Sus scrofa: one gene and its partners. The protein of the gene in region 1 interacts with the protein of each later gene in a pairwise test. Links are inferred from orthologs where the notes say so. Each region holds a gene or a part of one and is shown in the gene's direction. Other genes may lie near its edges.

Region 1 (5,186 bases):
CTCGCCGAGACAGCCTGGCCTCCCTGTTCCCCAGTGAGGAGGAGAAAGGTGGGTGTGGGGAGCTTTGCCCTGGGAGGGAACTCGGGTTCGCTGGACCCCAAGGTCTCTGCGGGGGGGGTGGGGAAGGTTGAGGCGCCATGTCAGGCTAAAGCAGATGGCTGTGGCCACAGTCCCTCAAGCCAGGTGGCTCCCGTGTTTACATGCCACAAGCCGGGTAGACACCTGTGGTCCCAGGGGTGTCTGTGTCCCCTCACGTGGGGCTGGAGGGATAGGAGGCCTGCAGTGACTTGGCGCCCCTGGCACCCCCAGGTCCTGAGGCAGCGGGGGCCGCCGCGGCCCAGCAGGGTGGCTACGAGATCCCTGCCCGCCTTCGGACCCTGCACAACCTCGTGATCCAGTATGCAGGGCAAGGCCGCTATGAGGTGGCTGTGCCACTGTGCCGCCAGGCCTTAGAGGACCTCGAACGGAGCTCAGGCCACTGCCACCCTGACGTGGCCACCATGCTCAACATCCTGGCGCTAGTGTACCGGTAAGGGCTGGGGCCGCTGCGGCTGGAGGGGGCAGGAAGGGCAGGGCCTGTTTGGTAGAAGAGGGGGAGCCCTGGTCTCCTGCCTTGCCAGCATGGGCACCTGGGATGGTGGCAGGGAAAGGGGTCAGGGATCTGGCAAGGCCAGAGATCCTGGCAAAGAGGAGTCAGCCTGGCCACCAGAGTGGAGAAGAGACTGGGGGGCGGCAGGGACCCCAAGCTAGACTTGGGAGGTGTGGGAACACCCAGAAGGGACCCCCAAAGGGTGCCCCCCATGCTTGGATCAGCCCAGCCCATGGCCCTGCTACCCGGCCTGGCCTAACCGCCTCCACCCCTGGGCCGCCCCACAGGGACCAGAACAAGTACAAAGAGGCCACAGACCTGCTCCACGATGCCCTGCAGATCCGGGAGCAGACCCTGGGCCCTGAGCACCCGGCGGTGAGCGGGGGCCCCGGAGGAAGGGAGGGCTGTGCGCTGTGGGCCTCTGACCCCTGACCTGCCTACCCCACACCCCCAGGTGGCCGCCACCCTCAACAACCTGGCCGTCCTCTACGGGAAGCGGGGGCGTTACCGGGAGGCGGAGCCCCTGTGCCAGCGCGCCCTGGAGATCCGTGAGAAGGTCCTGCTCCCTGGGAGCCCCTGTCGTGTGTAGCCCTTCCCATTTGATCCTGAAACACTCAATTCGGCAGGACCCTTGCTTGCTCCGGTGACCTCTGACCTTTTGGGCCCCTCCCACTTTGCACCCAGAGCCCTCAATCCCCTGACCCACCACCCTTGACCTACCATGACTTCCACTGGGCCTTGACTCCTGGCTCTGACCCCCTCCTCTTGCGACTCGCCTCCTGGCCCCCCTCCCCCCCAGTCCTGAGCTCCCAACCCCACTCCTGATCTTCCAACCCCAGGTGACCAGTGCAACCCCATCCTTGACGTATAATCATGAGGTTCTGGACCCCCATGATCTCTGACCTGACTAATCCCATCTGATGGTGCAGCCCCTGTCTCCCACTCCGACCTCCTAGAATCTTCCACAGAGGTCCTGTGGTCACCGATTCGTGAACGTGGTCCTCATTCCAGCCACTGGCATCATGTGGCCCATCAGCCCTGGATGACCCCAGTGACATGTGACCCCGTGACCCTTAGGTCCTGGGCGCCGACCACCCGGATGTGGCCAAGCAGCTCAACAACCTGGCCCTGCTCTGCCAGAACCAGGGCAAGTTCGAGGAGGTGGAGCGGCACTACGCCCGGGCCCTGAGCATTTACGAGGCCCTGGGGGGGCCCCACGACCCCAACGTGGCCAAGACCAAGAACAACCTGGTGAGTGCGCTCCCCCCCTGGGGGTGGGGGGACAGCCAGGGCCCGGCGTCCGCTCGAGGGTGGGATACCTGACTTTGCCCGGCCCTGGAGGGGTCCCGTGAGACTCGGCTTCCGAGCTGGGCCCTGGCAGGCAAGGCTGCTCAGCCCAGAGGTCAGCGCCAGGCGACGAGGCAGCCGCGGAGACCAGCCAGGAGCAGATGAGCGCATTTATTGAGCTAGACCCCTTCCTAGCACTTGCCCTGTACTGCCCATCTCTTCAAGGGCCCCACGAGGTAGGTGCTCCTGCCGCCCCATTCTGCAGACGAGGACACGGAGGCAAAGACAGGTGTGGCTCAAGGTCGAGGGGGAGCAGGCTCCTGCTCTGAGTCAGGGAGGCAGCTGCCCTGGGGGAAGCGGTGGGGTCGGGCGCCGAGCCCACTCTGCTGCAGGCTGAGGCCTGGAGTGTAGGGTGAGCCCAGGTGTCTCCCAGGGGGGGGCTGGGAAGCTCCCAGATTTGAGCCAAGCTCACCCAGGCCCTCACCTCCCCGCAGGCCTCAGCCTACCTGAAGCAGAACAAGTACCAGCAGGCGGAAGAGCTGTACAAAGAAATCCTCCGCAGGGAGGACCTGCCCGCGCCCCTCGGTGAGCCCCCAGTCCCGCCCTCCCCCAGGAGGCTGCTCAGGGTCCCCACTACCATGTCCTCATCTGTTCCCTAGGAGCCCTGAAAACAGGCACAGCCGGGGGTGCAGAACAGCAGGTGAGGAGGGGCTTCGCTCGGCTCCCGGGGGATGGGGGGGTGGACCGGCTGGATGGGAGGACTGACTGGCGCCCCCCTCCCAGAGGCTTCGGCGGAGCAGCTCCTTCTCCAAGCTCCGGGAGTCCATCCGGCGGGGAAGCGAGAAGCTGGTCTCCCGGCTCCGAGGGGAGGCGGCGGCAGGGGCAGCGGGGTGAGTGTGGGATCAGGTGGGGGAGAGCCTGGACAGACGCCCCCTCTGTAGCCCTCCTGTCCTGCTCAAGAACCTTCCACGGCTCCCGTCTCCCCCGCAACACATACAAGCACCCCTGTGCTGGAGGGTCTGCCCCAGGACAGGAGCCCGACACGCCCAGACTCACGGGTGCCCCACCTCCTCCAGGATGAAGAGAGCCGTGTCCCTCAACGTGCTGAACGTGGATGGGCCAAGGGCCACTGGGCTCCCGGTGAGGGGGGTCCCTGGGGCAAGGAGGGAGTGGGGGACCACGAGGTCGGGCCCAGAGGCAAGGGAAGGGGGGGATGGCACGGGAAAGGACCCCAGGACGGGGGCCTGGATGGGTTATCCGGGCAGAGGCGGGAGAGGTGGGGACAGGAGGATGAGTGACACAGCCAGTGGCGGCCAGGCTGCCAGGGAGTAGCCCTAGTGGCAGCTGGAGCAGAGTTAGGTCCGGGCCTCACTCACCCACCTACCCCCCGTGCCTCTTTCCAGTTCTCCAGCCGGCACCTAAGTGAGGCTTCCCGGACCCTCAGCGCCAGCACCCAGGACCTTGGCCCTCGATAAAGGCGACAAGACCACGCGGCCGCAGCATCTCGGGAGGAATGGGAGAGGGTGGGGAGGGAAGGGGAGCCTCCCACTGTCCTTTCTCCTGCCATTAAAGGCTGTGGATGTGGCAGCCAAAATGCACGCCTGACCTTCCAGCACCTCCCCGGGGCCAGGTAAGACTGGGCATGATGCGCACACCTTGGCGGCCCCGCCTGGCTCATGCTACAGCTGCTGCGCGATCTGCTCTATCCTCCGCAGCGTCTCCTCTGACTCGAGCTGCTCCAGGCTGAGCAGGGACAGGCCCAGCTGGTCCTCCTGCAGGGGAGGGAGAAAGCAGGTCAGACGGCTGCCGCACATCCGACCCAGGGTCCACGCCGCAGCCAGTAGTGAAGGGAGGTGGCCCGCCTGAGGCCACGGGACAGGATGCTTGAATCTGGAAACATGTCCAGTGCAGAGCGGACCACTCCTGTCAACAGAGGACAGGCCGGCAGAGGGGCTGCATCCAAGGCGGAGCAGGACCGGCTTTCCAGAGGCCCCTTGGACGCACGCTGACCTCTGCAGCCCCCAGGCCTGGCACATGGGCGCACACAAACCTGTCAGGGGCGGGGGGTGTTGGGGCTCAAGGAGAAAGCAAGCCAGGGTCCCTCCTGTAAGAGGAGCTCGGTCGCCCGGGGCTCACCCGGTGGAATGGCTGTGCCATCTGCCTCAGGAAGTACTTGGCAACCTGGACCCCCTCGTCGACGGTCAGGTTGAGGTTGGCGTCTGTGAGGTGCTCCTGGATCCAGCGGGGCAATTTCCCCCGCTTGTCTGCCCGGGCGAACCGCTTTGAGCGGGAGAGAGGCCAGGTGTCAGGACCGTGGGAGGGGGGCCCGGGCACCCCCAGCCGGGCCCGACTCCTCACCTTGTCAGCGAAGACCATGAGGCCGTAGTCCGTCTTGCCCCTGATGGCCCGACCCACACACTGGGCCGCGTGGCGCATGGCGTCGAAGGTAAGAAAGTCATTCTCTCGAATCTGGAACTGGTCCCGCAGGTATTCCAGCCGCGCCTGCAGGTGCAGAGAGGGGAGACGTCCCTTCCTCACGCCGCACAAGACCCCAGGGGAAGGCCCAACAGAAGCCCGCCTCCTCCCGCTGCTCACCTTGAGAATGCGGCTCTGGGTGTACACGTACGGCACGCCGAACATGATGACGGCCCGCCCGTAGTGGTGCACTGGGGGCGGGGGGCGAGGGGGCGTCAGTGCGGCCCAGGGCTGGAGGGAGGGCAGGCCCCCGGGTGAGCCCAGGCCGTGGGCGGTGGGTGGTCCCCGGGGAAGCAGAAACGGCCGGAGCTCCAGGCAGGCCCTCGGGAGGGGAAAGCCTGGTCCACTCACCAAAATCGATTCCCTCGGACACTTTGCCTCGGGCCACCGAGAGCAGGATGGCCCCACGGCCGTTCTCGCAGGCCTGGAGGGGGGAGGCCAGGATACGAGACGCGTCACCTCAGAGCTGTCTCCTCTGGCCCTTCTCCACCCTGGACTCTCAGCATCTCCCGCCCTCCCCCCCAATAATACCCACCTCCTGGTACTTCTCCAGGGCGACACTGGTCTCAGCCCCATCTTGAGTCTCGATAAAGAGCAGCTTGTTCCTCTGGATGTTTTCAAGGATGCCCTAGGGAGGGACACCAGGGAGGTCAGGGTGCAGGTTGGCAGAAAGATTAAAGGACAGGGGCGTCCCGGTTAAACTCAGCTCTGCCACCGATTCCCATGCAACAGACCACTTGTCACCCTGGGTCACGGCTTGCCCATCAGAGACTGGGGCAGGGTGGTGGCACTGTCCAGCCACACTGCTTGTGATCCAGGTAGGGAACATCCCCGT
Region 2 (5,201 bases), on another chromosome or scaffold:
GAGAAGGAGAAAGACCTGCTGTTGGCCGCAGAACTTGGGAAGATGCTTCTGGAGCAGAACGAGGAGCTGCAGCGGCAGATGGAGATGCTGAGCGCCCAGCACTCTGAGCGTGAGGAAGTGAGCTGGCAGCAGAGGGTGGGCTGGACACATGGAGGAGAGGTGGCAGGGACCAGGCTGTGGGGAGGTGGGAGCCAGGTGTGCAGGGAGAGGCACGCCAGGCACAGGGGATGGATGCCTCTGGGACCAGTGCCCCTGGCAGTGGTTAAGAACAGGGGCTCTGATGGAGTTCCTGCTGTGGTTCAGAGTGTTGAGAATCCTACATAGTGTCCGTGAGGGTGTGGGTTCGATCCCTGGCCTCACTCAGTGGGTTGGGGATCTGGCAGTGTAGGTTGCAGATGCGGCTTGGATCCTGCGTGGCTGTGGTGTGGGCTAGGGCCCCTGGCCCAGGAAATTCCTTATGCTGCAGGGGCAGGTGCAGCCTTAAAGAAAAAAGAGGGAAAAAAAAAAAGAACGTGGGCTCTGAGGACAAGTCGAGACCTGGGTGCAGATCCCTTCCTGGCCGTGCGGCCCTCTGCAGGATTGCACAACCCCAGGCAGCAGCTCCCGGGTGCTCCCTCCCTGCCCGGCTCCGAGCTAAGCACTTTCCCTGGATCGTCCAGGTCAGTTCTCACCAGCTCTGTGAGACAGGGACAGTTTTCCCAGATTCTGGTCAGCCACATTCCCTGAGGGTCACATCTGGTCCCCTGGACCCCACTGACTCCTGTATCCACATCCTCACCCCCCACACCCTCTCCACCTGGCCCCCTAAGGGGCATCTCAACATAAGTGGCCCTGGATTCCATGCCCCCATCACGTGCTACCCTGGGTTCACACTGCGGGACCAGACCCTGCGCAGCTGGTAGACCGCTCTCCTCCCACGTCGGCAAGCCCTGGGCCTTCTTTCTTTCTTTCTCTCTTCTTTTGCTTTTTAGGGCCACACCTCTGGCATATGAAGTTTCCAGATTCGGGGTTGAATTGGAGCTGCTGCCCCTGGCCTAGGCCACAGCCACAGCCACAGCCACACCAGATCCAAGCCACCTCTACCACCTGCACTACAGCTCGAGGCTACGCCGGATCCTTAACCCACTGAGTGAGGCCAGGGATCAAACCAACGTCCTCATGGATCCTAGCTGCGTTCATTTCTGCTCAGCCACGATAGGAACTCCAAGCCCTGTTGCTTCTTCTTTGAAACTAGATTCCGAGTCTGCCCACTTCTCCTGTCCCATCATCTCTGCCCCTGCTCGCTGGTCCTGTTTCCACCCTTGCCCGCTGGAGTGCCTTTTCCACGGGGCAGCCAGAGAGATCTTCAAAAATTACAAATCGCACCACTTCAGTCCTTGCTCAGAATCTCCCAGCAGCTCCCCGTCATACTTACAGTGAAACTAAAAAGTCCCAGCCATACCTCCCCTTCTCTGACGGGGCCTTTTTTCAGTTCCTCAGGTGACCTGTGCTTGTAGCCTTGGGTCATGTGCATTTAAGGTCCTTCCCTGTAACCCTGGTTCTTCCTGCCCCACGGGAGTCAATTTAGACACCTCTTCCCCCTGAAAGAGCCCCCACTTATCCCTGCTCCTCTTCATGGATTGCTTCCGGGGGTTTCTTTTTGTGTGTGGCCACACCCATGGCGTATGGAGGGTTCCAGGCTAGGGGTTGAATCCCAAGCTACAGCTGCCCATCTACACCACAGCCACAGCAATGCCAGATCCAAGCCACATCTGCAATCTACACCACAGCTCACGGCAGCACTGGATCCTTAACTCACTGAGCAAGGCCAGGGATTGAACCTGCGTCCTCATGGATCCTAGGCAGATTTGCTTCTGCTGAGCCACAATGGGAACTCTGGATGGGTGGGTCTTGCCTGACCTGGGTATCAGCCAGGACAATCGGACCCCAAACCCATGGGTTTAATCCTAAGCTTTGTGGCCCCCTCAGTACCTGGTTAAGGGCTTGGCGGCCTGGGTTAGATTCCCTGCTCTAGGACCCAGCTGTGTGTCCCCGGGCAAGGCATTTACCCTCTCTGAGGCCCCGTGTCCTCATCTATACAATGAGGACGTTAGGGAGTCTAACTCTAGGGAGTTAACACAATAGCACAGGTGAAGTGCCTGCCAGGCCCCGTGGCAGCTGGGGGAGCATCATCTTCCTGCTGGGAGAGTCTGGGGAGCCTCTGGCCCCCTGGCTTGCCTGCCTTCCCAAGCTGGGCATCTGGGTGTGCCAGGAGCGTCCCCCTGCTGGTTAGACAGGTTTTGGGGAGGGAAGGCAGAGGCGTGGGGCCAGGGTGGAGCTGACCAGGGTTAATTAGAGGGAGCTGGCTGGGAGCAGCTCTGGGAGAGGGGCTGAGCAGAGGCTGGGCAGAAGCTAAACGTCCGGAGTCCCTGGATCACAGGTGAGGGAGGCCATGGGCCGGGGCTTCAACTCTGCCAGACTCAGGCGCCACAAACGGCGCCTGCGACCTCGGGTCCAGAAGCCCAGGCAGCAGCCAGAGGTGAGTGGGCCTCAGGAAGACGCCCCCTGCCACCACCCCAACTCCGGCCCATGGTCAGCCCCTCCTGGAAGCTTCTACTTCTCCCCCTCCTGTCCTACTGCCTGGACCATGTGTTGCCTCCCTGCCCACCTCCTCCCCGGTGCCCTCCCCATTGCTGGCTCCACCATCAGTCTCAGACCCCTGCACGCTCACCTCTGCCTCTCTGCCTCTGACCCTCTGTTCTGCCAGCGGCTGCAGCAGGAGAACCATGAGCTCCGCCGGGGCCTGGCTGCACAGGGAGCTGAGTGGGAGGCCAGGGCCGTGGAGCTGGAGGGGGACGTGGAGGCCCTCCGGGCCCAGCTGGGAGAGCAGCGATCAGAGCAGCAGGACAGCGGCCGTGAGCGGGTGCGGGCTCTCACTGAACTCAGCGAACAGAACCTCCGGCTCAGCCAGCAGCTGGCCCAGGTGGGACAGCCCTGACCCCAGGGCCCTGGGCAAGGAGGGGGCAGGTGCCTGGGTCCCGGTGGAGGTGGGTGCACTGGGCCTGGCGTTGAGGCTCAGGCCAGTTGAGGGCTCCACCGCCCCACCCCCCCATCCCCAGGCCTCCCAGACCGAGCAGGAGCTTCAGAGGGAACTGGATGGCCTTCGGGGGCAGTGCCAGGCTCAGGCCCTGGCTGGGGCAGAGCTGAGGACGCGGCTGGAGAGTCTGCAGGGGGAGGTGAGTGCCAGCTGGGGCTGGGGGTCTATTGAACCAGCAAGGCTGCAATGGGGGCTATGAGGAGCTGGCCTAGCATTTCCACTCCAGCTCGGAGGCCTCTCCCCAGAATCAGATGCTGCAGGGCCGCCGACAGGACCTGGAGAGCCAGATTCGAGGCCTGCGTGAGGAGGTGGAGAAGGGCCAGGGCAGACTACAGGCAACCCACGAGGAGCTGCTGCTGTTACGGCGCGAGAGGCGGGAGCACAGTCTGGAGGTGGGTTGGGATGGGGAGGCTCTCCCCGGGGCCTTGGCCACTGCCTCACGGCTTCCTGGGAGAAGAGACCAGAGCTGGGTCGCTGGGAGCCCACAAGCATGTGGGCATCAGCCTAAGGCCAAGTGAGAGCCATGGGAGGATACTGAGTGGGGCTGGTTCACTCTCGGAACCCATCAGAGTCTGGCAGCTGGAGAGGCTGGGATGGGGCTGAGGCCAGAGCTCAGGTCAGGGATGATGGGGACCTGGGCCAGGTCTGGGCTTGAAAACGGGGAAAGGGGAATGATAGTGGGCAGCACGGCTTGATGCTTGAGATGTCAGAAGTTTGCACTTGGGGGTCAAATTACCTGAGTTCTTAGCCCCACGTCCCTTTTTACTGCGGGACACCAGCCTCAGTGTCCCTGTCTGTGAGATGGGAGGGTAATAGTACATGGCTGTGGTGAGGGGCTGAGACACTCAGCACATCACCAGCTTAGAAAGGTCAATAAACGCTGGATGAAAGAGGTGGACCCGGGCAGGTTGGGGGGAAGGGGGAAGGGGGAAGGGGAAGGGGCGGGGCTTTTCGAGGTGACCTGATGGGGTGGGACTGGAGGGAGGACGATGGGCAACTTTAAAGCCGGGGTTCCCACTGGCGCCCTGCTTTATAGGTAAGGAAATTGGTACCTGCCGAGGGGAACTGCGCGACCCAAGGCTGCCGGGCCATCCGGGAGCGGGAGGCGACTTCAGAGTTCCCGGACGCGGGGTGCTGACTCTCCGCGGCGTGCTAGCGCCCCCTGTGGGCCGGCCGCGGGAGAAGCCGGCTGACCGCCCCTGTTTCGCAGCTGGAACGCGCGCGCTCCGAGGCCGGGGAGGCACTGAGCGCGCTGCGGAGGCTGCAGCGGCGCGTCTCAGAACTGGAGGAGGAGTCGCGCCTCCAGGATGCAGACATCTCGGGAGCCTCGCTGCAGCTGGAGCTTGCCCACAGCCTTGACAGCGACCACGACCAAGACCAGAACACGGACAGATGCAGAGATACTCTAGCGAGCTCTCTGTCCACCAGCTCACAACAGGTACCGTGCAGGAGAGCTGCAGACCCCTCCCCTCCTCCTTTTCGCGGGAGGTCACTTTACTGAGTGATTCCTTTGGTGAACAGACCACCCTGTCCCTGGAGACCCAAGAAGCATCCAGCCACCAGCCTTCGCCCCAGAAAGAGAATTTAGAGCCTCCCAGGAAGCAAGCATCCCTGAGCCGAGGGGAGATGCTGGAAGAGAAGGAGGCGGAAGTAGTCCGGTTGCAGGATGAGGTGGGGGGGGACCATAATACTGCATGCAGAGCCCCTATCGATTTCTCTTTTCCATCTATACCTCCGAGTCTTCGCTATTAATCCCCCTCTACCTAGACAGCCCTTCATCCCAACAAACTCGCAATCGTCTCTCAAGAGGCAGCCTGTATGTTACCTCCTCCAGGGAGACTTCCTGGACTACTTTCCCCCCTTAGCCCCACCTCCCAATGCTTCCATATATCCTTCCTACAGCCTCATACCTTCCCTACCCCACCCCACCCCAGTCTAGGGGATCAGAAGGTTCATCCCCAGCACAGGACCTTAGCTGTCAGAGTAGTTTGTGGAGCAGGGAGAGATGGGGGGAGGATCAAGCTGGAGCCTGGGCTGCCTGGAGGAGCAAGGACTACCTGCCCTGTTCACCCAGGGGCCTCCCTGCCTTTCTGCATCCTCTCTCCCCTGCCAGCAGATTGAGCTG
Region 3 (6,550 bases), on another chromosome or scaffold:
TTTTCCCTGTAAAGAAGACAAATGTGGGGATTTATAAACTTACTACAAACAGGTGTTCTTAAGAGGCATAGAGCTTTATTCAGAGTCAAGTGTGGGCAATTAGAATGCAAATCTGAAAATCTTTACTTGCCTCTCCCTGACTCTGGGTGGTAATTTTCTCTTAAAAAAAAAAAAAAAAAAAAAAGACGAACAAAAATATGTTTCACCAAACACCAAAACCTATGCGTGTGTATTTGTAGCAGTAAAACAAAGAGATGGGGTGGAGATGCCTTTGCCAGTTGCCACACAAGTGCGAAGGCATTTCTGACAAAGAGTAGCCACAGTTGGGACACCTCGGGTAACTGCATATGCAAATTAGCGCTGGGAAAATATTCCTGAGATTCACCTCCCATGAAGTCCTTTGAGAAGTCATTACACGTTGGGAAACCTCCTAATCCTTAACATTTATGGGAAACAGAGCGAAGCACTTCAAGTAACAAAGCTGGGGCTGAACAGCTGAACAGGGGTGGTGGCTGGAAAAAAGAAGTATGACTGATTCAGGTTTGGGAAAGTTGAGGTCTTCAGAGCTGCTCTATCTAGAGTATTTTTATACTGTTTTCCCAGACACTGCTGAAGCAAGCATTGACTCTAAAAATATTCATAACCTACTGGCATCCTTGGATGTAGAAGGAGTCACATTAAAATGATTACAATTATGTCAAACTTGTCTCTTTTTTTTTTTTTCCCCCTTGGTCATCTCTAATCAAATATTAGGGGGCATAACATCAGTAGGCTCAGACCTCACAGAAACTCAGAATTATATTCCCAACATCGGCAAAGCAAAAGTTTAGCCCATTTCACGCACAAGGAACTCAGCTAATCAACACAAGTATTCAAAGAGCTGCAAACATGTGATGGGTGGTGCCTGGCAGGCTTCTTGCTTCCCAGTTGGAAGAGGCCCTCAACATCACCCAGAGCAGGGAGTTTCCATTGTGGCTCAGTGGTAATGAACTGACCAGTATCCATGAGGACATGGATTTGATCTCTGGCCTTGCTCAGTGGGTTAAGGACCCCGCGTTGCAGAGAGCTTCGGTGTAGGTCACAGAGGTGGCTTGGATTTGGCATTGCTGTGGCTGTGGTGTAGGCCGGCAGTTGTAACTCTGACTCAACCCCTACCTGGGAACCTCCATATGCCGTGGGTGTGGTCCTAAAAAGACCAAAAAAAAAAAAAATTACCTAGAGCAGAAAATTTTCCTATGACACAGGACTGTCAAGAGCTTGAATTTACTGCCATATGCTATCCAAATGGTTTCATTTACTGTTTTTTTTTCCCCTAAATTAAGGAGGAAAGACTGTATGTACAACACAGGACATTACGGGGGTTATTTGGGGAAAATGTAGTAAAAAAGTACTTGTGGTTTCCCTGCAAGCCCTGGGCCACACAACTAGTCAAGCCTCAGCCTGAGATTTTATCTAAAGAATGCTGGATTGCCACTCATTTGCCCATCTGGAAGATGGGAACGTCTGTTCACCGACAGTTAACGAGGCTTACAAGGGTGCTGTGCTAAGAACCTGTTGCGGTGGGCTGGACACAAAGTCTATAAAGACAGGGCAGTACCTGCCTACAATGAAATGCTCACAAGTTAGTGGAGCACACCTGCTATTATCATCACTGACCTCTCTCTTTTTGGAGAGCGATGGTGAGAGAAGGGTATCAAAATTTATATTTAGCGGAGTCTTCTGCGCCTCAATGGTAACTTATTTACTGGTCAAAGATCTTCCTAGGTGGGTCCTGCTTTCTCTCTTTTACAGATGAAACTAAGCTAGGGATGAAGTGCTTCCCCGAGGTCACACAACCACTCAGTGGCGGAGACCACCGTGAACGCGAGCTGTCTGGCTCCACGGTTCCCATAGAGGAGAAAGGCGGGAGGAGGCAGGAGGACGACGAGAATGGGAGAATGGGAGAGGGGCGAGGGGAGGAGTACACAGGGGCCCGTTTCCCTTCGTTAGAGAAAATGCCAGCAACGCCATCCACTTGTTGATTTGCACATTTCCATCACTTTAGCTGCCGGCGTCACTGCTAGGAATGGAAAACTGAAAGACTCCCCAACTCTTTAAGGTTTGGTTTGCTTCCCGAGAGGACATAGCCACAGGTGATGCGAATTGATGCCTTCTCTGTTCCCGGCGCCAGCCAGGCCGTCTGCGGCAACGAACTACAACCCCACCATGCACCGCGCGGTTCCGAGGGCCACGCCAAGGGAACAAGAGGGTGACCCAAAGGTGCCTTGAGGGGAAAAAAAAAAAAAAAATCACCTACATTTTCCTGGCTTTCCCACCTTCACGTTGACCTCACTCCCAGCACGGTCCGCCATATTTTTAAGTGAGCAGCTCATACAGAGAAGTGTGCCGAGTCTCTTCTGTCTTCAGGCATGACAGAGGGCAGGCTCGATGCCTGCGCGCGGGTGCGAGGTCCCCAGGCCAGGCGCGGGGCGGAGTCAGCAGCGGCTGGGCGGGGACGCAGACCGGAAATATGCGAGGGCAAGGGAGAAGCTTGAGTGGCTGCGGGCGCGCGCTTCCGGCCGGGGCGTCGACGTTGGCCGGCTGCGCAGGGCGCCGCTGCGGGCTCTTCGGCCACCACTTTACGCGTTCCGCTCGCCTCCAGGTTGCCAGTCTCGTCTCTTCTCGCCGTAGGCCGTGACGACATGAGCGGCAAAGAAGGTGGCGTCCTCGACAATTTGGGGCGTTATTTCTGTGTTTAGTCCAGGCTTCTGGTCACATTTCCCACTTCTCACCCTTGCGGGATGCCCTCTCACCCTGAAGGCTCGGGGCGGGGGTGCTGCCCTAGTGATTTTTGCGGCCACAGTGGCCTGTTTATGCCTCGTGTTTTCTTAAATTCTCGAGCCGTTTTTCATCTTAGTTCGATAGTTGCTCTGTAAGGAAGCCGTTAGTGGAGGCCCGGATGGTGAGCCTAAGGTTTGGGAGGACAAGGCAGGGTCCTTCTGCTGAGAAAGCCTCTCTGTGGATACCGGTTGTAGAGAAAGGAACGCGTTTGCCCGCTGTAAATTTTTGTCAGCTCTTGGTAATGGAAGAGCCCCGTCCAACCTTTTTTTCCTTCTCTATGTAAGGTTCAGGAGGGTTCAGGAAAAGGAAGCATGACAATTTCCCACATAACCAAAGAAGAGAAGGGAAGGATCTTAATTCATCTTCACCTGTGATGTTGGCCTTCAAATGTAAGTTCTCTGTCATGCAAGCTGGCGAAGGGAAGAGAACTAAAGAGCTTGTCACGAGGGTTACTTAGCCATGTCCTACACGTGAAAACAGCCGCCAGGAATTTTCCTGGAGGTGTTGGCGATGGTGCTAGGTCTGCCATGAAAGTTGAGATTACAAAAGTGTTGACTTTTTTTTTCCGCATTGCAGTTTCACAAGTAAACATTAGTTTACTAACATCAGACGTGCTACATAACGAAAAATTACTGAGTGATATGTAAATATATGTGTCAAGGGTGTGTGTATACATATATCTATTATGTATATATTTATGTTGGGTGTGTGTATATGTACCAACTGTATATGTGTATATCAGCGATGTGTGCATATACATCAGCTGTATGTGTACATATATTTAATTAATTTTAACGTGTTGGTTTTGTTTCCTTAGCTAGACTTTTGAAGACAGGGACTGGTTTTTTTTTTTGTTTTTTTGGTTTTTTTTGTCTTTTTGCCTTTTCTGGGGCCGCTCCCATGGCACATGGAGGTTCCCAGGCTAGGGGTCTAATCAGAGCTGTAGCTGCCGGCCTCCGCCACAGCCACAGCCACAGCAACGCGGGATCCAAGCCGCGTCTGCAACCTACATCACAGCTCACGGCAACGTCGGATCGTTAACCCCCTGAGCAAGGCCAGGGATCGAATCCGTAGCCTCATGTTTCCTAGTCGGATTCGTTAACCATTGAGCCACGACAGGAACTCCCAGGGACTGTATTTTATCTTTTCACAGAGTATGAATGCATTTCTATTAGTAAATCAAACGTGTATGTATTCACAGTTGCCCTTGTCTCAGCATGTTAACTTGGTCAAGTTGTTACTCATTTCAAAGAGAAACATAAAACAAAGTCCTCCCTCCTCTCTTCTGTCCAGCATCCTATCCTTATAGTTTTTGTGGTTTTGGAATCCATGAGGGGCTTAGTTAGCTGTTGGTTCTGACTTGCAGTCATGTGCAGGCTATGCTTGGGCTGGAGGATCCACAGCTATTGACAAATTAGGCTTTCTGCCAAGAACCAGCTCCAGGTTCCTCTACATGGACCCTCGGTAGAACTGCTTGAATGTCCTCAAGCGTGGCATCTGGCTTCCCCTAGACTGAGAGATGGGAGGAGATCACCCTTCTCTTATGTCCTAATCTAGGACATCATACTTTCTCACTTTTGCTACATTCTATTTGTTAGAAATGAGCAGTTTAAAAACTCCGCCTCATATTTAAGTGGAAGGGAATTAGCTTCCATTTTTTGGAGGGAGGTATCTCATGATTTGTGGACATAAATTTCTTTTTTTTTTCCTTTTCTTTTTTTATGCTTTTTAGGGCTGCATGTGCAGCATATGGAAGTTCCCGTGCTAGGAGTCAAATCGGAGCTATAGCTGCTGGTCTGCACCACAGCAACGCCAGATTCGAGCCGCATCTGCCACCTACTCTGCACCTCACGGCAACATCTGATCCTTAACCCACTGAGTAAGGCCAGGGATTGAACTTGTATGCTCATGGATAGCATTGGGTTTGTTTCCACTGAGCCACAATGGGAACTACAATTTGTGGATATGTTTTAAAACCACCACAGCACCTAGTGATCTTCAGGGATGTGAGACAACTAGTTATAATTGAGTAGAGAGCATACTGATAGTGTTATATACTCCGTGGAAACACTATATTGGGTCAAGTATTCACCGTTATACTCTCACACATTCTACATGGAGCTGCTTGTTTCTACACATATTTTGCTGTTTTATGTTTCTACTTGTCTAGTGCACATAGTTCTTTAAGCTTGGAATTGTTTCTAACTTGATGACCCTGTTGAATGTCTGGTATGCCATAGTTTTCTTCAAGACCCAGCTCAAGCAGCTTCTTCCTTTGAAGCCTTTTCTGATTTACCTCTCAAACAAACTTGGTGACAAACATTGCATTCATTGAACATCTGTCTATTCAGTTGGGAAATTTTGAGTGTCTGTATTCTAGCATGTGTTGGTAGTGAACAGGAAAATTGTAGTTCCTACTTTGCTGAACCATACGTGTACATTTACATATATATACCCACACATATAAACATACGTATATATATAATAGCATGATCACATTTAATTATTCCTTTATATCTGTGTCTCATTCTGGACTGAACTCCTTAAGGATTTGAAACTGCTTTATTTAACTTTGAAGTCATAGTATCTAATTTACAGTTGTGATCAATGTATTTGTAATAGTGAATACATTTGATTGTCTTGAAACATTAGACAAAATCCTAGCCTAATTATTGTCTCAATAACCAGATGTATTTAGGTCCTTGTCAGCTATTAATTTGGTTAATAATTTATTCTATAGTTTTTATTCATGCAAAATATGCCTGTGGATTGCTCCCTATAGGACTGCAACTTGCTAGGTCTTTGGTGTGACAATGCCTCTGAAATAAAGTGGTTATTCAGGTGGTTTAAGTGCTTAGGGGTATTTCAACAGCTAGGGCTTGAAAATTCAGAGAGTTGATGTTATCAGAGGCTATACACTTTATTTATTTATTTTGGCTTTTTAGGGCTGCACCTGTGGCATCTGGAAGTTTCCAGGCTAAGGGTTTAAAAGGAGCTGTACCTGCCGACCTTCACCACAGCCACAGCAACATGGGATCCAGGCCATGTCTGTGACCTATACCACAGCTCACAGTAATGCCAGATCCTTAACTCACTGGGCGAGGCCAGGGATCAAACCCATGTCCTCATGGATTCTAGTCAGATTCGTTATTGTCGAGGCATAATGGGAACTCCATAAACTTTTAATTTAAAAATTCTGGTTTCTTTTTTGTTGATATTTATATTGTATATGAATAAGGTAGGTAAAATAGCACAGCGAGATAGATGGAAGTATTTTTTGTAAGTAGTTATGTGTGATAATTTTGTGATAACAGTCCATGTTTACTAGAACAGATTTTTTTTTTCCCCTGCAGTAGGTACATGTCATTGTGAGGCATACTTTATTTAAAGAAAAAATATCTCAGTTTTTGATTTCTAATATCTCAGTCTTTGATTTCTAAGTACTTTAATAATAATAAATAAGATGATTTTATTCCATTCATTTTTATAGTGTAAGTTGCCTGCTCGTGTGTAGTGACAATATTGTTTGATAGGCTTCAAGTATAAAATAAGTATGCTCATGGTCATAATAATGTGTTCTTAGCATTTCAGCAGGAACTTGATGCAAGACATGATAAATATGAGAGACTTGTGAAACTTAGTCGGGATATCACTGTCGAAAGTAAAAGAACAATTTTTCTTCTCCATAGGATTACAAGGTGAGTAAATATCTTTAAAATTTGTTATAGTT
Region 4 (6,004 bases), on another chromosome or scaffold:
TGGTTCTCAACAGAGTGGAATTTTTGCAGCATCTCCATCCTCTTGGTTGTCACAACTTAGCGGTAGGGGGAGATGTTGGCAGCTACTACCAGCATCCAGTGCACGGAGGTGATAGGACCCAATAAACATTTTATAATTCATAATACAGCCCCTTGGTAGACTGAGAAATGGCTCCCCAAAGATTATCAGTGGAAGCCCAGCATTACCTTACATGGCCAAAAAGACACCCCCAAAAAAGTCTTTGCAGGTGTGACAAAGTTAAAGACATTATTTTGGACTATTCAGATTGAGCCTAAATATAATCACAAGAGTCCTTAGTAGAGGAAGGCAGAGAGAAGTTTGACACACTGAAGGTGATTTTGAAGACACAGCAGAGATTTGAAGATATGTCTTAAAAATTGGAGCAGTACGGCCATAAGCTAAGGGATGTTGGCAGTCATCAGAAGCTGGAACAGAAGCCTCTAGAGTGTAGCCCTTCCCATATTTTGTTTTTGGTCTAGTGAAACTGATTGCAGACTCTGAGGCTTTAGAACTGTGGAACAGGAGTTCTCTTGTGGCACAACAGGTTAAGAATCCAGCATTCTCACCCTAGCAGCTCATGTGGCTGCTGTGGCACAGGTTTAATCCCTGGCCTGGGAACTTGTGCATGCCTCAGTTGCTGCAAAAAAAAAAAAAACAAAACAAAAAAACAAAACAAACAAAAACCTGTGAAACAGTCCACTTTTGTTGTCTTAATAGGTCCTGAGTTTGTGGTAATTTTTAATAGCAATCTCAGGAAATTAACATAAACCCTCACAACAAAGAATTTTCTAGCCCAGGCTGTCAGTAGTGCTTATGCTAAGAAACACTGTCTTAAGGTTTTGTTTTTTTTTTCCTTCTTTTCACTTTTTTAAAGTATGCTTGCTTTACAGTGTTGTGTTAGTTTCATATGTGCAGCAAAGTGATTCAGATGTGTGTGTGTATGTGTGTGCTTCAGATTCTTTTCCCTTGTAGGTTATTACAGGATATTGAATATAGTTCCCCAAGCTATATGGCAACCTTGTTCTTAAGGATTGAGTTAGAACCTCCCCTTAACTGATTGGCTGGATTAGCCATTCCTCTCCATGTTCATTCTTGCTCTTGTGACACTGCATGCTCATGGCTACTATGCACATCTTCAGGGTTAAAAGTCAGTTATGTTTGTTTCCAAAATGTTTTGTGCCAGTTGTCCTTATGAATAAATTTCTGGTTTAAATATTGAGTAAGCCAATAAAATATGACATTGAAGATCTTGATCTTGGATGACATTAGTTAATCAGTGTTTTTATGTTTTATGTTTCAAAAGTTAAAATGCCTCAGGGCATGTAAATATCATTTCTTGATTCTTTGTTGGAAATGATCTCGAGGTCTTCCCTCTTTAAGTGAGAGTGATGAATTTATCAGTCAGAAAACTGTAGGTTTTCAGTTATACCACTAGAGGGTTCACTTCCAAAACTAATTGTGATTTGGCCATAGATATTAGGATCCAGGAATTTAGTAAGTACAAGAGGTCTTAAAGGTAACCCACTGTGCTGATTTTATAGCTGACACTTACCTTCATTTTACTCCATTTGTTTAAATGTAAAATAAGAATAGCTCTTGCTGAAACTCAGAGCTGGAATGGTATTATCTTATTCATAATTTTTCACACACAAGATACTGTCCCAAGGGTTTTGATGCAAACACTGCTTTATTTGCTTTATGAAATAAGTCACTCATTTGGAGCACATGGCTGGCTAATTAGCCCTGTTTCTCTCATCATTCCTTATAAAAATCATGAGATTTATATTCTTTGTTTTGTGGTAGTTGAATAATATAAAGGGCCCAGGTGGAGAATCCTTGTGTGCTTAGTCACTGTAGTAGTTTGCTTTTAGCATAAGGAGGGTATTTTTGTTTTCTTGGTGATGCTTCATTGTATAGGTTCCGCATTGTGTTAAAGCAAAGCATCATTGACGGGTATTTATAAGCATTTTTCCTTCATTGCATATTACATAATAATGTTTTCCTTGTACATGAGGCCCTCCATCTGTAGGACAGAATGTTATGAATATAGTTGGTGGTAGAGAACAAAGATTGTTTACTAAATCATATAGGGATTTTTTAAAAGCCTTAAAACTGAGTAAAGTGACCATGGTAGGATTTGGAAAAAATACTGACTAGCAAAGCCTGCTTATCGTTATGCTGTACACGACGCGGGCTAAGCAGCAGAAGCTATAGTAACTTGAGTATGGTGTTCATTGAATTCTAATGTGAAATAATAATCCTGATAATAATAACCACATTTCAGGAGTGTTCTTTGTTGTTCCCAAAACTAGATGGGAAAATATTATTCATCCCCTTTATGAGAACCATACTTTTCATTATCTGATGTGGATCCTTTCTTTTATATACATATAGGCATGAGAAACTTGGTAAAAAAATATGAACCACCCAGATCTGAAGAAGTTGCTGTTCTGAAACAGAAGTTGGAGAGATGTCACTCTCCTGAGCTTGCACTTAACGTAATTACGTAAGTAGATGGGACACTGTTATCCTAGAACAGATATAACTATTATTGTGTTTAGCTTAAAATGTCATTTAATTGGTGAATGCTCATATGGGTAAAACTGACTTACCTATTAAATCAGATTTTTTTTCAACAGGATTAAACACGAGATAATAAAAGAATTTGGCTTTTTATAGTCAATTCTGCTCCTGCTGTGATTAACGTGTTCTTTGGCTTGTGGGATCCCATGAGGCAGAGTCTTCCTAGGGAATTCATGAACCTCTTCTTGTCCTTTTAATCTCTAGGTTTTTTGTAGGTCTGGTTATCTCCTCTGGAGAACAAGTACACTGTTCCAGATTTATTTCTATTAGCTAGGGTATGGAAATTTGGCATATTTTCTCTCAGTGGTAAACTTTATATTGAAGACAGAATCAATAGGAAAATGTGCTGTTAGATTTCTTGTTGCATCCATAAGGAACACTGTAATACGTCTTATTGACTTGTTGCTGAATGTGGAATTCACTATATTTGAGCTCTTTATCACCTGCAGCTTGAAGATCTGCTTACACCTTTCAGGTGTTTAAACAGTTGGGGATCTGGGTAGGTAATAAGAATGGTAAAATTATTATTTTATATTTTCTGTGGAACACATTCTGTAAAACTTAGTGGGAGGTAGGTCTGTCATCTTACAGTTGAGATGCATTTGAGATGTTTCTGATTCCATAATTGATGACTATATTGTTATTGGATAATATATGAGACATCAGACCAGAATTCTAAGGCCTTCAGATCAGGTACTTGTAACTCAAATTCTTCTAACTATAAAGCTATAGTAGGAGAATATCCCAGGACTTATGATGTGTGTAAAATATGGGACTATTTTATATTTGTAGCTGTAACTGCAAAACATGGCTTAGAATAGAACCTAAAATTGGTAAATTTCACTCCTGGGTTTCAGTGTTACAGCAAAAGTAAAGAAAAATGTTGACTTTAATGAATGAAAGTATTGCAGTACTGATTTATAATCTTTTCACATTGATTTTGAAATGGGCTTATTAGACCAGGTGTTGGCACACTGTGGCCCAAGGGCCAAATCTGGGCCACAACCTGTTTTTAGAAATAGTTTTATTGGAACATAGATCCATCTAGCATACTGTGTATTGCTGTTTTCAGACTATAGCAGAAGAATTGTGTAGTTGTGACAGAAACTACATGCCCGTACAAGAATTAAAATACTCACTATATGGCCTTTTGAAGAAAAATTTGTCCACCTCTGAATTAGACCACTCAACTATTGATCTTACTCTTCTAGCTAGGTGACTGAATGGACCATAATCCAAAGTTCCTAATTGGCCAGAGTTTACATCTTTCTTTCAAGTGTACTGTGTTAAGCAAACCCTGCATATCTATGAGTACTTAAAGGGCGATTCTCAAACTGTAAAGGACTGTTAATTTTCTTTTTAACCCATTACAGACCTACACTTACATAAAATATTAACAAATAATTACTCGAAAAAAGAAAATGACAAAAAAATAAGCTTAAATTTTATTAGATTCAATAAGCTTAATTTTATTAGATTCAGTAGTCATAAATAAATCTATCAAATTCCTATAAAAATTTCTAAACACACACTCAATTTCTATACTTATCTCATTGCACGCTGGAAATGGTCCATAAATCACACTTACAAGCACTACTTTAGGATAAAATATTTTTTCTTGGTCTTTAAAATTCTTTTATCTTTTTTAATACACAAGTAATATAGTGTCATTATTAAAGCCAATTTAATACAGGTAAACCAGAGTTCTCTTTAACCAAAACCCAAATCCCAGTTTCATCCCGAGAGGTAACTTATAGTTGTTATCTTTGCCAAGCTTTTCACTATTATGTATTTAGAAAAGGGTTTTTTCCCTTTTCATTGTTTTCATACACATTGTACAACATTTAATAGTATCAGTATTTAACTTCTGCCAGTCTGGGTGAAGAAATAATCATCACATCGGTATTTTAATTTGCATTTCTCTTATTATTCTGATACTGATATTTCCATGTCAAATAATCCTGTTTCTTCTGTATTGCATAATTATAACCTCTGCCCAACTTTCTTGTCTTGTTTTCTTATGGTTCTTTTTATATACTCCTCTTTTTATATTTATCATAGACCTACTTTCTTTTGTTGCTTCTTTTACTTTGTGACATAGGCAGCTTGTCTTTTGCTTTATGCTCGTACACCTGAACACCTTGTCTTACTCTGTATTTTGCCTTTTGTTTAGCTGTTAAAACTATTTAGAATTGTATGTGATTGGTTTGAGGTAGAAATCTCACTAATTTTTGTTCAAAGTAAACTTGTATCAGCCATTTAAAAATATTTCATGATTTTCTCTAGTTATTTAAAATAGTCATTTATTACAGATTAAACTCCTATATATACTTTGTACTGATCATTGATCTTTAACTCTTTGCTAATACAGACAGCCCTTCATATCTGTGGATGCAGAGCACCAAATGTACGAATATTACCATTTCATAAAAGGGACTTGAGCATCAGGATTTTGGTATCTTGAGGGGTGGGGGTGGGGTTCCTGGAGCCAGTCTTCCTCAGATATCAAAGAATGACTGTACCATACTTTTAATTACCATAGTTTATATAAAGTATGTTTTGATGTTAGGTGGGACATGCTCCCCATATTTTGTTCTTTTTCATATTCTTTTGCTATTTTTGTGTAATCTTTTCCTGGTCAGAGTTAAGCTTAGGAAAAATTTTATTAGGATTTTAATTAGAATTGGATTGAATTTTTTTATTTTGCTGCATCATGCAGCACCTTGATATGGGATCTCAATTCCCAGACCAGGGATCAAAACCGGTCCACAACGATGAAAGCACTGATCCTAACCGCCAGATCACCAAGGAACTCTGCAAACTGCACTGTCTTTAAAGAGTAATTTGAAAGATAATTGCCTTCCTACCCATAATTCTTCACCTTTTTCCATTTATCCAGGGTTTGTTCTGTAGATATGTCAAAAAAAGATAGCTTGTTTGAGAGATTTACAGAATCTTGCTAGTTTAACCATGCTAGATTCTGTTGCCAGTATTAGATTGCTTATTGATGGTTGCTTAATTACAGCAAGAAGAGGAAAGGTTATGAAGATGATGATTATGTCTCAAAGAAATCCAAACATGAGGAGGTATGTTCTCCAAAGGTAAATTTTAACTTACTGTTGTTGTTTATTCTGGTATGACAATAGTGTTAAGATTTTATTGTTCCAGAGTGCGGGCATTATAGACAGAGGTGTGGGTATTAGAAAGCTTTTTTTTTTTTTTTTTTTTTTTTTGCATCTTTATGTACATTGTCTATTACAGGAATTTTTCTCACTTCCATCTTAGCCTGTTCTGAAGCAGTATAGTAGTTACTTCATGAAGAATCCCTCCTAAGGTCATAGAAGCCAGTAGGGATATATAGACATGCTAAATTTTGTCATATTTTTTTAATCTTCAGGGA

What was found.
Region 2: the proteins of KLC3 (region 1) and BICDL2 interact in binary tests that used the Homo sapiens proteins (3 or more experiments, as listed by UniProt). The two-hybrid records come from large-scale screens. The link is inferred for Sus scrofa from reciprocal best matches to the Homo sapiens genes KLC3 and BICDL2.
Region 3: the proteins of KLC3 (region 1) and TSNAX interact in binary tests that used the Homo sapiens proteins (3 or more experiments, as listed by UniProt). The two-hybrid records come from large-scale screens. The link is inferred for Sus scrofa from reciprocal best matches to the Homo sapiens genes KLC3 and TSNAX.
Region 4: the proteins of KLC3 (region 1) and CCNH interact in binary tests that used the Homo sapiens proteins (3 or more experiments, as listed by UniProt). The two-hybrid records come from large-scale screens. The link is inferred for Sus scrofa from reciprocal best matches to the Homo sapiens genes KLC3 and CCNH.

Annotation. Positions count from the first base shown.
Region 1 is NC_010448.4:51,732,290-51,737,475, forward strand, and holds the end of KLC3 (kinesin light chain 3), read left to right. Parts: coding exon 1-48; intron 49-309; coding exon 310-529; intron 530-876; coding exon 877-964; intron 965-1,043; coding exon 1,044-1,145; intron 1,146-1,666; coding exon 1,667-1,840; intron 1,841-2,028; exon of another isoform or gene 2,029-2,370; coding exon 2,371-2,461; exon of another isoform or gene 2,462-2,535; coding exon 2,536-2,576; exon of another isoform or gene 2,577-2,659; coding exon 2,660-2,766; exon of another isoform or gene 2,767-2,952; coding exon 2,953-3,016; exon of another isoform or gene 3,017-3,279; coding exon 3,280-3,351; 3' UTR 3,352-3,464; downstream 3,465-5,186. Other genes in the region: ERCC2 (TFIIH basal transcription factor complex helicase XPD subunit), read right to left, coding at 3,556-3,648, 4,013-4,156, 4,235-4,378, 4,472-4,542, 4,703-4,775, 4,887-4,979. UniProt on the Homo sapiens protein: Kinesin is a microtubule-associated force-producing protein that may play a role in organelle transport. Plays a role during spermiogenesis in the development of the sperm tail midpiece and in the normal function of spermatozoa.
Region 2 is NC_010445.4:39,155,197-39,160,397, forward strand, and holds part of BICDL2 (BICD family-like cargo adapter 2), read left to right. Parts: coding exon 1-117; intron 118-1,807; exon of another isoform or gene 1,808-2,431; coding exon of another isoform or gene 2,432-2,518; intron 2,519-2,746; coding exon 2,747-2,962; intron 2,963-3,098; coding exon 3,099-3,215; intron 3,216-3,321; coding exon 3,322-3,468; intron 3,469-4,286; coding exon 4,287-4,514; intron 4,515-4,597; coding exon 4,598-4,747; intron 4,748-5,192; coding exon 5,193-5,201.
Region 3 is NC_010456.5:59,054,318-59,060,867, reverse strand, and holds the start of TSNAX (translin-associated protein X), read left to right. Parts: upstream 1-2,567; 5' UTR 2,568-2,681; coding exon 2,682-2,697; intron 2,698-3,104; coding exon 3,105-3,209; intron 3,210-6,403; coding exon 6,404-6,518; intron 6,519-6,550.
Region 4 is NC_010444.4:94,993,288-94,999,291, reverse strand, and holds part of CCNH (cyclin-H), read left to right. Parts: intron 1-2,415; coding exon 2,416-2,527; exon of another isoform or gene 2,528-5,629; coding exon 5,630-5,690; coding exon of another isoform or gene 5,691-5,705; exon of another isoform or gene 5,706-6,004. UniProt on the Homo sapiens protein: Regulates CDK7, the catalytic subunit of the CDK-activating kinase (CAK) enzymatic complex. CAK activates the cyclin-associated kinases CDK1, CDK2, CDK4 and CDK6 by threonine phosphorylation.